2 linked regions of the Astyanax mexicanus genome follow. The protein of the gene in region 1 purifies or fractionates together with the protein of each later gene. This does not show direct contact. Links are inferred from orthologs where the notes say so. Each region holds a gene or a part of one and is shown in the gene's direction. Other genes may lie near its edges.

What was found. Proteins that work in one complex are often made in the same cells at the same time.
Region 2: the proteins of ubqln4 (region 1) and gja1b purify together in Homo sapiens (affinity purification with western blotting; 3 studies listed by BioGRID). This does not show direct contact. The link is inferred for Astyanax mexicanus from reciprocal best matches to the Homo sapiens genes UBQLN4 and GJA1.

The regions. Positions count from the first base shown.
Region 1 is NC_064408.1:115,871,741-115,879,893, forward strand, and holds the start of ubqln4 (ubiquilin-4), read left to right. Parts: upstream 1-4,650; 5' UTR 4,651-4,684; coding exon 4,685-4,831; intron 4,832-8,153. UniProt on the Homo sapiens protein: Regulator of protein degradation that mediates the proteasomal targeting of misfolded, mislocalized or accumulated proteins.
Region 2 is NC_064408.1:81,831,517-81,839,474, forward strand, and holds the start of gja1b (gap junction alpha-1 protein), read left to right. Parts: upstream 1-4,376; 5' UTR 4,377-4,531; intron 4,532-7,958. Other genes in the region: gja13.2 (gap junction Cx32.2 protein), read left to right, coding at 1,445-2,293. UniProt on the Homo sapiens protein: Gap junction protein that acts as a regulator of bladder capacity. A gap junction consists of a cluster of closely packed pairs of transmembrane channels, the connexons, through which materials of low MW diffuse from one cell to a neighboring cell.

The DNA.
Region 1 (8,153 bases):
CTGGGGGTTTTCTTAGTACCAAGACTGAAAAATGGACTTTTGTGCTTGGACTGAAATAACCTTACAAGAACAAACTCAGTAGAACACAAGAACACAAGAACGGATGACCAATATATGCAGTGCACTTGCTATTTTAGGATATTAAATAATACTCTACACTCTCAGGTTAGTCACTATTATTAAAATATTACCATGCTAAGGCTAGCAAAATAGAAGAATAAAATTTACCCATTTTTTACCCATTTCCAACATTTTTCTTTTTTGAAAGCAGAACTAATAGCACCATTTGTTTAAAATAAAATAAATAAAATGTTTGATAACTGCTGCTAATCATATGTAGACATAAACAGAGAAAGTAATCAAGTAATCAAAAAGCTGACAGTTAGTACTTTTTATTCAAAAATATATTTAACTTTTATTTATTTTCTTAATACCTGTATACTGCAAACAGTGGTAGAAATAAACTGCACCAAACTGAACATCTTACATTTCTTAAATTCCAAATAATTTAAGAAAAAACAACTCCTGCTATTTTATTAACCCTTGTGTGGTGTTCGGGTCTGTGGGACCCGTTTTCATTTTTCATCAAATGATACTAAAAAATATTTTTTCTAACTCAAACTCATTGGCATTGGCTCATTTTTTGTGAAAAACATATATCAAAACACATTTTCGATAAACACACACTGTCCCCCCCCTACACATTTATATTACATACAGTCTGTTTGGCCAAGGGCTAATAAACATTGCTTCATTTGTAAATTTGAAACTAAACAAATTTTCTACTCATATCTTGAGTTTAATTCATTTTCTTTTACATTTTATTAAACTAATAAAAAAGATTAGCACTTTTTGAAAGAAATGTAACATAAGAAAGGTAAAGGGCAAATATTAACCATGTAAGCTGTTTATATTGCTTGCAATTTAGGTGAAGCGAGCATGTGTAAAGCATTTTAATTGCTTAATTTTGCTGAATTAAATACAAGTAACAAAGTAAACGAGTAACAAAAATATGAACACCACACAAGGGTTAAAGTTATCTATGTAATCCAAAATTAGAATTAGCTTTTTTGAATTGGTTTATTCTTTATTAATATGGCATAGTTTCCTCTTAAGTTACCTAAACAACTTCTACCCATAGACGTCTGGGTTTTTTCTTATTACAAAATTGAAAAATGTACTTTTGTTCTTGGACTGAAATCACCTTACAAGAACAAACTCAGTAGAACACAAGAATATAGGACCAATATATGCAGTGCACTTGCTATTTAAGGATATTAAATAATACTCTACACTCTCAGGTTATTGAAATATTGTCCTTGGTTTTTAAGACAGAGCAATAACACATCTGGGAATTTTCTTGATAAATGCATTCTTGAGTAATCTCAAGATTAAGTTCATCTGTAGTTATGAAACAGTCCAGCTTCTTAATAAAAGCAATATCTCAGAGTTTCGTGTAAGATATTTGTGTAAACCTTCCTCCAGAACAGTAAGACCCGTCTACACACGCCACACTGGAACACTCTCTCTCTCTATTTCTCTCCTTCCCCTCTCTCTTTCTCTCTCTAATTCTCTCTCTCTCTCTTTCTTCTTCTTCCTGTCTTGTTCTCTCTCTCTCTATTTCTCTCCCTGTCTCTCATCCTCTCTCTCCTTCCCCCCTTCTCCCAGTCTCTTTTTTCTTTCCTTTCTTCTTACTCACTCACTCTTTCTCTCACTCTCCCTCACTCACTCTCCCTGCCACTCTAAAATTGTATTGGTGGTCTGGAAGTGAGGTGTGTTCAGATCAATTTCTGGCATATTTCCCAACTTTTACATCAACAAAAAACTAAATACTATTAAAATAATTAATAATAATAACAACATTGCTGTTTCTGTAAATGATCTGCTCATACATCTGTACAGCGTGAACAAACAAGTCAGTTTTCTCTGCTGAAAAGCGCAGAAGCGCTGGTATAAAATACCAATCCGCCAAACTCAGAGCGCACCTGGCTCTTAAAGGGAATGGCGAGTGACACAATGATTGGTTTATTTACAGTATGCCCTTTGCACTTTTTAACCCTTTGAACCCTATGGACGAATTTTCCTTCCAAAATCGCACCTTGTGTTCTCAGCTTAATTACTCAGGAATCCCTTCACACATTAACATAATCCATATATGATTAGAAAGGGAAGAACTTACTCTTTCTAAAAATAGTGATCACATCCCAGTACTTACTGTAGCATCTACAAAAAACCCATTGAGAAAAACACATAATAAAGTGGGATCTCCTGCCCCAACCACTATTATTTACCTTTAGTGCTTCAAACACATTTATATGATGTTTCAAACCAAATAAATAAAGACTCAAAAGTGTCCACAAAAAAAGTGTGAAACTACCTGCTTTACTCAAACTAAAGCTAGGTATGGTGTGCGCACTACTTTATATAGTTTTTATTTTACTTGCACATTTTTATTAAGTAGTTATTTTGCACTAAACATTTTTATTTATTTAGACTGAAAAGTTACATTTTTGTATCTAGTTTTCTTTGTGTGTCCTGATTAAAATACTGAAAGGCATAGTCTGCTCTGAGTGTCAGGTTTTTAGTATCTACATGTATCCTAGAGGTGTGATTATTGATTATCAAGATAAATAAATCCACCTGATGCTGTTTCTCCATGTATTTTGTTAAAGTAATAAATAATAAGCTATGTAATGAACTTTCATCAATATTCTTATTATTTTAACTCATAAACACTCTAGTCTAACAGTTTTTGAAAAGATATCTCAGGTGTAAATATATTTTAAAGTCTATAGATTCAAAAATAAGTTAAAAAAAAAAAAAAACAGGCACTTGGTAAAATTTTGACCAAAACATGATCAGTTCCCTTTTACATTTTAAATGATTATATTTTTGAGCAGTCGTATGTCTTCTGGAGTAAAAGAGATCAGGGCATGTGACTGTCTGATATAATTACTGTGTTATAAGACCTGAGTTCATAGGGTTAGATAGAAACAGCCTAGGGTTCAAATGGTTAGACAGACAGACAGACAGACAGATAGATAGTTTTGGAACTTTTGGCCATCCAGCAGCAGATATACACAATACACAACAGTTAGTAAGGAAGGATAAAATAAAACAATACTATGAAATATAAAGTATAAGTACAGTAGTGTGTAATGGAGGTAGTGCAGTTGAACACATTAGACAATGAACACCAGTTGATGTGCATATTATGAGGGTAACTGATGCCAGCCATACAAAAGGTGCAAATACATAGTTATATAATAATTTAAATTTGCAGTGCAAAAACTACTAGTGCAAAATGAATCTGCACAGAACTTTACTGTAGCTGAAAAAGACTTGGTCAGGTCCAGCATCCTTCCTACATTTCTACCTTAGCAAAATCTGACCTCATGCTGCCTACAGTAAAGAGATGGTGCTATGGTACTGGTGAGTGGAAAGGTGAATGGTGTACTGGTACCATCTACAGGGCAGAGTGGGCAATGTTCTTAAGTAAACTGATCCCCTTATACTGAATCTAATAAATATCAGCATGAGCCTTCTTTTACCCATTATAGAAAAAAAAAAACATATAAAACAGAACTATTTGTTCCTGATGTGCTTCAACTGTTTTAAATTCATTTAAAAAGTGTACAAAGACCATTACAACCATTATAATTAAAATCTTGTTGCTTTCAGAATGGTGTATTTAATGCGTGAACGTATTCTGTATTTATTTATTTATTTTAGTTCCATCAAACATTGTTTGACACCCAATTTCAGGCCAATATAGGCCCAATATTAATAATTGGTTGACACCCAACATCGGGCCAACATAGGCCCAATATTAAACATCGGTTGGCACCCACCATCAGGCCAACATAGGCCCAATATTAAACACCAATTGACAACCAAAGTATAGGTCCAGTGTCAAATAGCGGTTTGCATCCAACATCAGGCCAACATACGCTTAACGCCAAAAATTGCCAAAGTAACCAAAGTCAATATCAGTAAATTTACCCATAGTACATGTAATTCGTTATTTTTTTCATATTTTGTCACAAAGTGTATTAATGTAATATTAATGCAGTTTCTCTGATTTTGCTATTTATAGGTATATGTTTGAGTAAAAATAACATTGTGGTTTAATTTTATTTATTTTTATAAACTACGGACAATATTTCTCCCAGATTCCAAATAAATTTGCTTTTATTTGCAGAAAATAAGAAATGGCTGAAATAACAAAAAAGATGCAGAGCTTTCAGACCTCAAATAATGCAAATAAAACGAGTTTATAGTCATAAAGTTTTAAGAGTATAGAAATCAATATTTGGTGGAATAACCCTTGTTTTTAATAAAAGTTTTTCATGCATCTTGGCATGTTCTCCTCCACCAGTCTTGCACACTGCTTTTGAATAGCTTTATGCCTTTACTCCTGATGCAAAAATTCAAGCAGTTCATCTTGTTTTGATGGCTTGTGATCATCCGTCTTCCTCTGAATTATATTCAGAGAAACTCTTTAAGTTTTTAAGTGGTCTCTTATTTTTTCTAGAGATGTATATGTGTGTGTGCGTGTGTGTGTGTAAAAGTGTGACTGGGCGCGCGCGGCTCCGCGTGGGGGCGCTGTTTCCGGTCCGCTCTTGTCGCTGCTCTCGCGGCTCTTCTCGCGGTGACGTGATGAAGTGAAGAGAGCAGAGAAAAGATGGCGGAGAACAGCGGCGCGGACCCCGCCGTGGAGGGAAAATCCGAGGAGAATGCGGCGACCGGCGGCACCATCATCATGGTCACCGTCAAAACGCCCAAGGACAAGGAGGAGATCGCCATATCCGAGGACGCGTCCGTCTCACAGGTAACCCGGGCCGCCGCCGCCGCTCCGTGTGTTCGTGTACATGTAGCTGTGTGTGTGCGGGTGTGTAGCTGTGTGTGTGAGAGCGGCTCAGTCAGCTGTCCGACATGAATCGGCTGATCCAGAATCAGCGGCGATCAGTTCAGCGCTGCTTTTCGGGCTGAAACCGTCTGTGTAACTCACATTTGAACACACAGCTTTAATGTTACACTCCTTATTAACTGGTGTGTGCGGGTTTTGAGTGGGTAGTGCGGATTTAACGCAGCATTTATGAGGAAAATGAAGAGGAGAAAGTCGGCCTGGCTCTCAGTTCATACCTGGTGTTCCGTCGAGTTCTGCTAGCCGTCGAATTTGTGCAGCTCAAGCGTTCTGCGCATGCGCGGACGAATTGTTCTTTAGACATATGACGTGTTTTTCGTGATGATTCTGTTTTTAAATCATTTTAAACTTCATTTCTATCCACCCCATTCAGTTTGTAACTGTTTTATTTAGGTTTATTTACATTTTAGTTTATTTAGTTTATTATTTATGTTCGTTATTTTTTATTTTATACTTTGTTGTAGCTTTTGTCATTGTATTTTTACATTTTGTTTCATTTTATTTTCCGTTTTGCCTTTTAGACTATTCCATTATCATTTGTTTTGTTTTTATTTGTTGATTTTAATGTCCAGTCTTCATTTGATTTTATGTATTTTATTTTATTTACACTTAACATCACCTTCCTTTTATTGTTTTTAGCTACTTAAGAAAATTTTGTATCTGTTTTATCTAGATTAAGAAGCTATATATATTTTTTTTACAATTTGTCCTCTTAATAGGATTTTCTGAGAAATATTTTAGCATTTTGAAACATTATAACCCATAGCATATACTATACTTATATTCACGATTTTAATTAAAATCATTTTAAACTTGTCCTCCACTCAGCTTGTAGCTGTTTTTGTTTTTTTATTTTAACTTTTCATTTTCACTTTTTATTTCATAGTTCATTTTAGCTAGGTAGCCTCATTGTACTTTTTTTTTGACAGATTTTATATTTTTCTCTTTTAATTTTCTTTTACGTTTTGTATTGTCTTTTTATAATGTCTTAGTAATAAGTCTTTATTTGATTTTATATATTGTATATAGTTTGCACTTTTCTATCCTTTTATTGTTAATTAGCTTATTATTTTCCTCCGGGCTTTTAGCTACTTAAGATTCTTTTTAGATTGAGAACCTATATACATTTCTCTTTTTCCCGCTTAAAAGGAATTTGTAATATGCTTATTTTACCCTTTTTGAGTATTATAACCCATATTAAAGACTGTTTTATTTATTTATAGCGGTTACACAGCCTTATCTATAGTAAGGTGTACATTGTAACTAGACGGTGGTAGCAGGTTTCGAAAGGGTAGCACAAATCGACAGGACACCCGGCTAGCTTCTATGGCGGCAGCGCGTAGCTAGTTAGCTATTCCTTCCTACTGAAACAACCTCTTTTTGTGCGTGTAAAGGTTTTAATCGCTACTTTAACCCTTTATTATCAGTTTAACGCGATTAAACACGGCAGGTTTGCTTCATAAGTGCTCGTTTTGTCTCTCTGGAGAGGGTAGCGGCTGTTCTGCGCACTGTCTGAGGCGACGGCAGATCGAGCTCGGTTGGCTACCGCTAAGTAAGCTAGGCTGTTAGCATTAGCTTAATATTAGCTGAGTTAGCCTAGCCGTTAGCTTAGCTACGGAAGGTTCTAGCCCTACAACTCAGCTGCTAATTTTTACTTAGTCATTTCCCCTGTTTTAGAGGGTTTTATTCACCTATAGTGTCCAAAAGGAGGCGAATTAGGCCTGAATTCACTATATGAACACTGATGTTTCACTCAAACGCAGCTAGTTAGCGATATAAACACGGTTTTAGCCGGTTAACCTGCTAATTGTTGATAATGGGGATTTAATTAACAGTGATGGTTAGCTAGCTAGTTAGGTTGGTTACTAATGTTTTAATGTGGATTTAAAGCAGATTAATGAGCTGGTAATACATTTTGTAGGTCTATATCTTTAATAAACATCAGGTTCAATCTGTCTATTTAAACTCGAAATACATTGAGGGTTTCACTCATTTACAATGTAGCCAAGCCAGTACACAGGTAAGGGACTGTCAAAGAAAAAGAATGAATAAATAAATAAAGACCCAGAATTTTAATAAGATTTTAAAATTACATCTCAAACAAATGAGATAATAAGAATAAGAAATTAGTTGGAATTATAAATTTACAGGTTAAAGGTAATAAAAATGTAAGGTATGCAGTTACAGATGAATGAATGAACAAATACATAAACTTGATTAAAATAAACCCTTGTGTTTCTCTCGAGGAGCAGGAGAGAACCAGCCAACTTTTCATACACTATTTTTTATTCAGTTTTTTGCTTTATTTTGTCAGCTTGCTAAAATGTCCATCCCTGTGCAGATGAGAGATTCCCTGTGTTAGATATTAGTAGTTTGTTTTATTATTTTATCTGGACCCTCTCTTTTATTTTCCTACAGGTCCAATAGACATGGCATACGTACCAAATATAAATCGTATGTCATAATTAAACTACGTATATAAAAATCTATACAAATAAATAAATAAGGAAAATAGAAAAACAACTACAACATATAGTTGTTTACAAAATGTGGACGAAAAAAAAAGGGGTAATGTTTGATATTCACAGTACATGTTAATAGTATACTGTTTGTGGATTTACTGGTATTTTGTCTATGCTGTAATTTGATAGTGGCCAATAACTGATTAGTTATTGGTTACATTTGTAGTGTTTTTTTTATGCTCAGTACATCTTAGTACGTCTTATGAATTGTAAAAAGAAATGAAGTTTTATTTATAAAGTTTTAATACATAATACACCGTCTCTGTTTTTACCGGTGTTCTGGGTACGTATTAATTTGATTATGCTGTTTGATAATTTGGTGTTTTTGTTTATGAAAGCTATCTTAATCTGCTGTTTATTGAACATTGTATCATATGTTTACACAATCTTTGTGTACACTGAGGTAACTTTCTGTTTGATTTTAAATGAATGAAAAAATGTTAGCCCTTTATGAGTCATTATTTATATTGTGTTAAATTTAAGATTGATACGTTTGATTGCTTTACTCAGAGTAGATTAAATAATCAAAGAATATGAGGTTACCTGTATACCTGATTGTATAGACAAATTTAAGTGTTTAAGCTCTAATGTTGAGTGAAAACTGAAGATTAATCCTCTATTTACTGATTCAATAATTTCCTGGATCTGACTGGCTTTGTTGGTTATTTATATATTTTGTTATTTAGAATTATTATTTTATAGAT
Region 2 (7,958 bases), about 34 Mb from region 1:
GAAAACTACTTGAATTATGTATTTTAAACAATTAGCCTGTGTATCTAAGCCTGTGCTTAATACTCTAGATATATAAACACTAGTAACACTTAACAAGGTTACATTAATTATCAGTACTAACGACAAAATGTCCCAACTAATTATTAATTAACATTAGATAAGACAGTTATAACATAGTAGGTAAGACAATGTAATCATTACATTTTTTAAACTAATGTCTCAATTAATTCATATTTACATTCTTTATATATATATATATATATATATATATATATATATATATATATATATATATATATATATATGTTTATTGGGCAAACCATAAAAGTAGTACAATCAAGTATATATCAATTACAAGCCACAAACCCCCAAACCACCCACCCTCAGCCATCCCACCTTCACCCATGAAATGAGAATAACTTAAGACATTATATGAAAAGGGCATGGTGGTCTATACATTACAACTTACAAAGATACATAAACACAAATAAATATGCATGTTAAACAAAAACAAAGTAAAACAAAGATATAAACATAATTAAATAAAACACAAAATAAAATACATAAACAAATATTAACTTATAACTAAAAGTATAAAAAAAGGGGAGTGTCACTAATCTTCAGTGTCAGATTGTTGGTTGATGTTTTGTGGATCATAAGAAAGGAGGGGGTCCCAAGTTTTCTAGAATGTTTTCAAGGATCCTCTAATTGTATGCTTAATTGTCTCTAAATACAAAAAGGACATAAGCTCTTTAAACCAGGATGAAGAGCCAGGCCATATTTACATTCTTAAGCAATCAAATTTAACAATGTTTATTCATGTCTTAACTAGTGTTAATAATTAGCTTAGGCATTACTTAACAATTTAACATTGCTTATTACTAAAACATGTTTACAATACAGGTTACCAAAAAAAACAAAACACAGACAATTTTAAATGTTACAAATGTTACAATTTTTATATTTCTATAAAGAATTAATACACATTTTGACAGCGTTTTTAAGCTTCAATTAAATAGTCTTTAACCTTTATTATCGGTGAAAACAGACACCTAAATAAAATAAATAAATAAACTGAAATGTGATTATACAGGAAATAAGAATACATGAATTATCATTTTTGGTCAGCTTTATTTTAACTAACCTAAAAAAAGTAGTAGTTGATGTTCGTTTTTAGATTAACTGTTATGCTGATATATCACTATCATAAAAAAATATTTTATTTTTTGGAAATATATGTTTTTTTTAAATATCTGTAAAAAGGGGTCTGTTAAAATCACTGCTACTCATGAAGATTTATGGAGCATTTTTACGAATATTTTTGGCGCCCCTGCTGCCAGATTGCTGGGGATAATTTTTTTGTCATGTATTGGTTTAACAGTGTATAAAATAATTTGACATTATTTCTCGTTCTCTTCTAGAATAACCCTGAGCACCAAAGAGAATGGGAGATTGGGGGTTTCTCTCGAGTTTACTGGACAAGGTGCAGTCCCACTCCACTGTGATTGGGAAGATATGGATGAGCGTCCTCTTCATCTTCAGGATCCTGGTCCTGGGAGCAGGAGTGGAGAACGTCTGGGGGGATGAACGATCAGACATGACCTGTAACACCAACACGCCCGGTTGTGAGAGCGTGTGCTACGACTGGAAGTTCCCCATCTCCCACGTGCGCTTCTGGGTCTTGCAGATCCTCTTTGTGTCCACTCCAACTCTACTGTACCTGGGCCATGCTATCCATGTCATCCACCAGGAGAACAAGCTCAGGGAGATGCAGAAGTCCAATCAGATAGTGAAATCTCCGAAATACACAGACGAGAACGGCAAAGTGCGAATCAAGGGGAGGCTGTTGGGGAGCTACCTGACTCAGCTGTTTTTCAAAATCATCCTGGAGCTGGCTTTCATCGTTGGGCAGTATTATCTATATGGTTTTGTGATGTTTCCCAGATTTCTCTGCAAACAATCGCCCTGTCCGTTGGAGACAGAGTGTTTCATGTCCAGGCCCACAGAGAAGACCATCTTCATTATCTTCATGCTGGTGGTAGCATGTGTGTCTCTGGCCTTAAACGTGCTGGAAGTGTGCTATCTGTGTTGCAGGAGGATGTGCAGACGACCTAAATCTAGAAGTATGGTGCACTACAACCCACAACACCATTACATGCATCCTCCCTCATTTTCAATAGGCCTAGAAGCTGTGGAAAGTCTGAAGCAGAACCGTGTGAACACCAGCATGGAGAGCAAATGGGCCCAGAGGAGCAGCAGCCCTGCTGCTCATGAAGAAAAGGCTGAACTGTAGAATCGTGACATATGAGAGCAGTGTTTCTCTATCCTGGTCCTGGAGGCACCCTGCCGTGCACATTTTAGAGGTTTTCCTCTAAAAGACTGAAATGTAATTAATCTGTTGAATCAAGTGTGCTGGAAGCAGAAAAAAGGCAATAAATGCAGGAAGAAGAAGGGATGCAGGGTTCCTCCAGGACCATGATAAAGAAACACTACTCCACAGCCACACATCTGAAATGCATTACTAAAGTCTTACACTAGAGGTCGCAGTGCACCTGTTGAGTGAGATGAACTCCTTGGTGTTACAGTGTTACAATGTCTGAAAATCTGTTTTGACCAAAGTGTTGTATTCAAAAGCCTCAGACATATATTTCTAGTACTATTACTCTGCAATACACTTACTTTACTTGTGTTTTATATATTTACATATGTTGCAAATGTGTTGAATGCCCAAATATTTGAGGATCATGTGCAATAAAAAAATGAAACAAAATTAATCATACATATCTATATAATTATAATCATATATAAATGTATACATAAATATTTCTTAAATATGAGAAAAGCTGATGTAACTGATGTACTGGGTCACGCTGTGCAGTTAGTGGAGCATCTCTGTTGGTGTGTTATACTTGAATTAAAGTTTCAGTGTTTTATCATTCCCAAACAAGGGTATATATGGCAGAAATCAAAGTGATGAAGGTAGATATTTCTTTTTTAAGAGAAAATATTAACTCTAACCATGTGTAAATGTCTGTTCTGACCGAATTGTTGTTTTCAGAAGCCTCAAAATTCATATCTCTTCTGCAATGAACATACTTTTTTTACTACTACTATCATTTTTTTTTATATTTGAATTTGTTCTAAACGTGTTTGATAACCATATTTTCTGTGTTTCAATCAATAAATATAAATAAAAAATATCTAAATATAAAAACTGATGCAAATGATGAACTGAGAAAAACTGATGCAATTGATGAACTGAGTTACAATGTGCAGTTTAATGGAGAATCTCTGTTGGTGTGTTCATACAGTACCAGTGAAAAGTTTGGACACATCTCATTCAATGATTTTCTTTATTTAAAATGTGATTAAAACCCCCAATATATTTCATTACATACTGGTGGACATGTTTTATTATTTTATCTTAAAGGTAGTTAAATTTAAATATGTTAGAACATTATATTCATCTTATCAGTTATTGGTATTGTGTTTCATGTAGGTTTGGTTTGCAGATTACTTCACCTCGATGCAGAATGTTGAACTAAACTCTTCCCCTCATTTTATTTGATGGATGCTTCTTTTGAGACATTATATAAAAAAAAGGTATAATGAACATAATGTAATTATGAAAAAAATGGTTTGTTGCCTGAGGGCAACCCCATGCCATAAAGGATTCATGTATTTTCTACATTGTAGATTAATACTACATACATGGAAGTTATTAAAACTACTAAGGGGCACATATGGAATTATGTAGTAAACAGTAAAAACCGCTATTCCTCCACAATCCTCTGACCTGAACCTGATCAACTGAGATGGGGAATTTTAAGATTTGGGATGAGCTGGAGCAGCAACTAAAAGCAGCAACTATAACTGTTGTTCAGCACCTCCAGAAACTCCTTAAAGACTATTCTAGGTTACTACACTGAGATTAAAATCTCAGTGCAGATCTGTCCTTAAAGCTTAATGTGCTACTTAGAAGAATAAAACATAGTCTGGTTTGTTTATAACATAATTCCATGTGTTCATGGATAGCTTTAATATTAAATTTACTATATAAACATATATAAATAGAAAGAAAATCATTACATGAGCAGAGATGTGTCTAAACTTTTATCTGGTACTGTAGCCTGCATAAAGTTCTGCATTAAGTTTTAAAAGTTTTTTTTTTTACAGAGAACAAACTCTATGAAATTAGTTGATAAATATTTTTTTATGGAAAACAAATGAGATTCAAATCAACAAGTTTCTTTTCCAGGAGAAAATATTCACCAAAACTCAGAGTAAGGAGATAAAAAAACTCTGACGTAGGGGGTCACATGACTTCTGTAACTTTGGTGCTTGCTCACTTTTCTTTTTTTTTCTTCTCACCGCCGCACGAAAGTCTCTTATAAGCGAGGAAAGTTTGACAAGTGTGCCTCAGTTTCTCTTGGTCCCCCCGAGCAGGATTTGGGAGAAAGCGGTGTGAGCTCTACAGAAGTGACGGAGAAAGTCCCTCAGGACTCTCTTCTGCTTCTCGGTGACTCTCCAGGTAGGTGAAGAAGACTTTTCTCCTGACTTCTTCTAACTTTTCTGTCTCTCCTTTTTACAGTTTTCACTCGTTTTTTTCTGTACTGGAAAGCCGAGTGCGGCTCTGGAGAGCTGCTTTTCCACAGAAACTCCTTACAGCGAGTGCGGCTCCTCACAGCTGCCTATATTTAGCTGGATGGCTAAACCATCAAAAACACTACATTTACCTTCAGGGTGTTTGGGTTTGGCATTTCATTCACGCCTTTTCCTCTCAGACTGGGCTACGTCCTGCACTGTGAGCGAGAGGAAGCCTTAAAAACACTGGAAATTATCACAGAAATACAGAAAGAAACCCTGCATTTTCTTATATTTGGCTTTAGGAGAAATACAACAAATGTGAATATTATTTTTCACTGGTTTCTGAAACCATCGGAGCAGCATCAGCACTGAGAACTGTGGGGGGGGCTAGGCTAGCTAAGTTAGTTAAATTTTTCTGAGATATAACAAAAATACAGAAAAAAAAAAAAAAAAATATATATATATATATATATATATATATATATATATATATATATATATATATATTACATAGAGCTTTATAATAAATGAGATTATTCTAGGAATCATTTATAAATGACACTAAATTGAGACCATTCTGTCTGGAAAAAAAAGTTTAAACCACATGTGAGACACATAATTATGATATAAAAAAAAGGTGGGTTGAAGAAGCAGAAGAAAAGTGTTTCAATCTCACATTGGCCTCCAACACGACTTAACCATGTCTATGAGAAATAATAATACCAAGAAGAGAGCTCAGAAACGTCTCATTAAGTCTTAATCAAGTAATAATACTTTAATAAGCAAAAGAATAGTGCTTCAATTTTACATTGTTCACAAAGAGAACTTGTCTATGAGAAATAATAAGCCTAACTTGAGTATATCTTTCCTCTAAAGTCTCATAAAGTCTTAATAAATGCTTTAAAAACTAGAAATATAATTCGAAAAGTACTGATTTCTACAAAAAGTCTCAGAAAGTCTTAAAAAGTGATCTCTACAAATAATAGGAAGTCATGATTTATTATTTCAATCTGTTCTGAGCATCTCCATGTTTTAGCACATTTTAGTTTTTCTCTCTAAATTCAACATTTAATCCCTGGAGCAGTATAAAATCCCGCTGCTGTTTGCTGTCTGACCACTGGCTCATGTTCTCAGCTCTAATGCTGAGCCCTGGCTCGCCCTCCACCACCCCTATGCCTCTGTCTCTCTGGAGAACTTCTGCTTAAATCACAGACTACTGAGACTCATTTAGTTCAAGCGCTTCTGTGGATTCTGACAGGATAAAGCAGCAGTTGGGCCTAAAGACATGCATGTTTCTATAAGAGCAAAAGGTTTAAAGAGCACCAGAAAGTCTCGTAGCATCTGCTCTGTTTGTGGAGAAAAAATGAAAAAAGAGGAAGAGAAACAATCCGTGTATCATTCGTTCATTTGATATTCAATTGAGAATCAAAATCGGAAAATTAAAAAACCAATTCGTTTTTTCGTTTTTTCGTTTTTGAATATAATACCAAAAAACGAATAACGGCTTGTATTTTGTATTTTTATTTGGTTATCCAAACAAAAATTGGAAATTTAAAAAACGGACCAGGAGCCGAATTTGATTTTGATTTTGAACTTGACCCATTTGTGTGCCCCGGAAGTTACTGATTTGTTTATTCTTGGTGGGTTTCTGTTGCGCGGGAGTTCACTGCAGTGTTATCTACACAGTCTGTATTGCTGTAGGCAGCATGGCCGGACTGGAACCACATTCTGGCCTAATTAAAGATCTTTTTGAAGGTGGTAAGACGCATGAAGAGATTTCGTGCACGTTGCAGCAAATGGGGATCCAGCGATGTTCTGCAATGAGTGTTAGAAGGTTCTGTGTTCAACACGACCTTAAGCGAAAAAGACATGTATTTTCTGTTGTCATATCGTCTTCTTTCACTGCAACGCGTTTAGTTCCTCTGAACAAGATAAAACTCTCCATCCTCAACTCCATCCAAAGCCTACAGCAATACAGACTGTGTAGATAACACTGCAGTGAACTCCCGCGCAACAGAAACCCACCAAGAATAAACAAATCAGTAACTTCCGGGCACACAAATTGGTCAAGTTCAAAATCAAAATCAAATTCGGCTCCTGGTCCGTTTTTTAAATTTCCAATTTTTGTTTGGATAACCAAATAAAAATACAAAATACAAGCCGTTATTCGTTTTTTGGTATTATATTCAAAAACGAAAAAACGAAAAAACGAATTGGTTTTTTAATTTTCCGATTTTGATTCTCAATTGAATATCAAATGAACGAATGATACACGGATTAGAAACCCACTGTCTCATCCCCTGGGCTAGGCCTGTCCCGATAAACGACAATTATTGTCAGTTGAAGACCATTTCATGCCACTAATATAATAATGATAACAGCATGATAATGCAAGGATGCATTTCTTTTAATGAGCAGGTAACTTAAAATTATTAAGAATGCTTAGACTTCAGAATTTGAAATATAAAATTAATATTACATATCTTAAACAAATGAAATATAGTAAAAAATAATAGAGCTACTCTTAAACCAAGTCAACTAGACTAGAACTCTTCTTACTGTATGCAGTATTAAGGGGAATATACATATTGTATTAATAATGTAACTATTGTGGCAGGCCTACCCTAGGTGTTTGCCGTCTACACATTAGTGAGATAAAGGCAGAAATAGCCTTTAGTTTGGTTTTTTTTCTGTCTTGTTGTGTGTACTGAGTTTTAGCTTTAGTAGCATTTATTTCATGTATCATTCCATTGGGCTACTTACAGTCTTATATTATATTATATTATTATATATATATTATAGCAACAAAAGAGATGAGATATACTATATGATTCAATACATTACAAGATTATAGTGAAGAACAGCATTTTTAAGACTATATTACACCTACAGAATAAGCCTGTCAAGACTTATTCTAACAAGTTGGCATTGATGCTGTTTTTGTCCTTTTGCCAAATCACACAAGTTAGAATAAGCCCTTGCCCCTGCAAAAGGCCCTTGTACACTAGTTATAATAAGCCAAGGTTTGTAGATCAATCATGAAATAAGGCACCTATTGTGCCTTATAAAATTCATACAGCTTTCTGTACATACATGCATGCATACTGTTTCTATATACACAGTATGTACTACTATAACAGCATACATTATTAATGTTCTAAAAGTGATAAAAACATGATCATTACACTGTTCAATTAGAAAGAAATACTTAACACCTCTCAACACTTTCTGCTTTTTACATCATTGTGTATTTTTGATACTCATAGACTTTGGAATGTCACAGGTTTAATTTACAGGTTTTTCATTCTTTGATGAAAGCATAGAGGATACATTTAATTTGTTTTACAAATCATGTCAGCTGCAAATGAAGA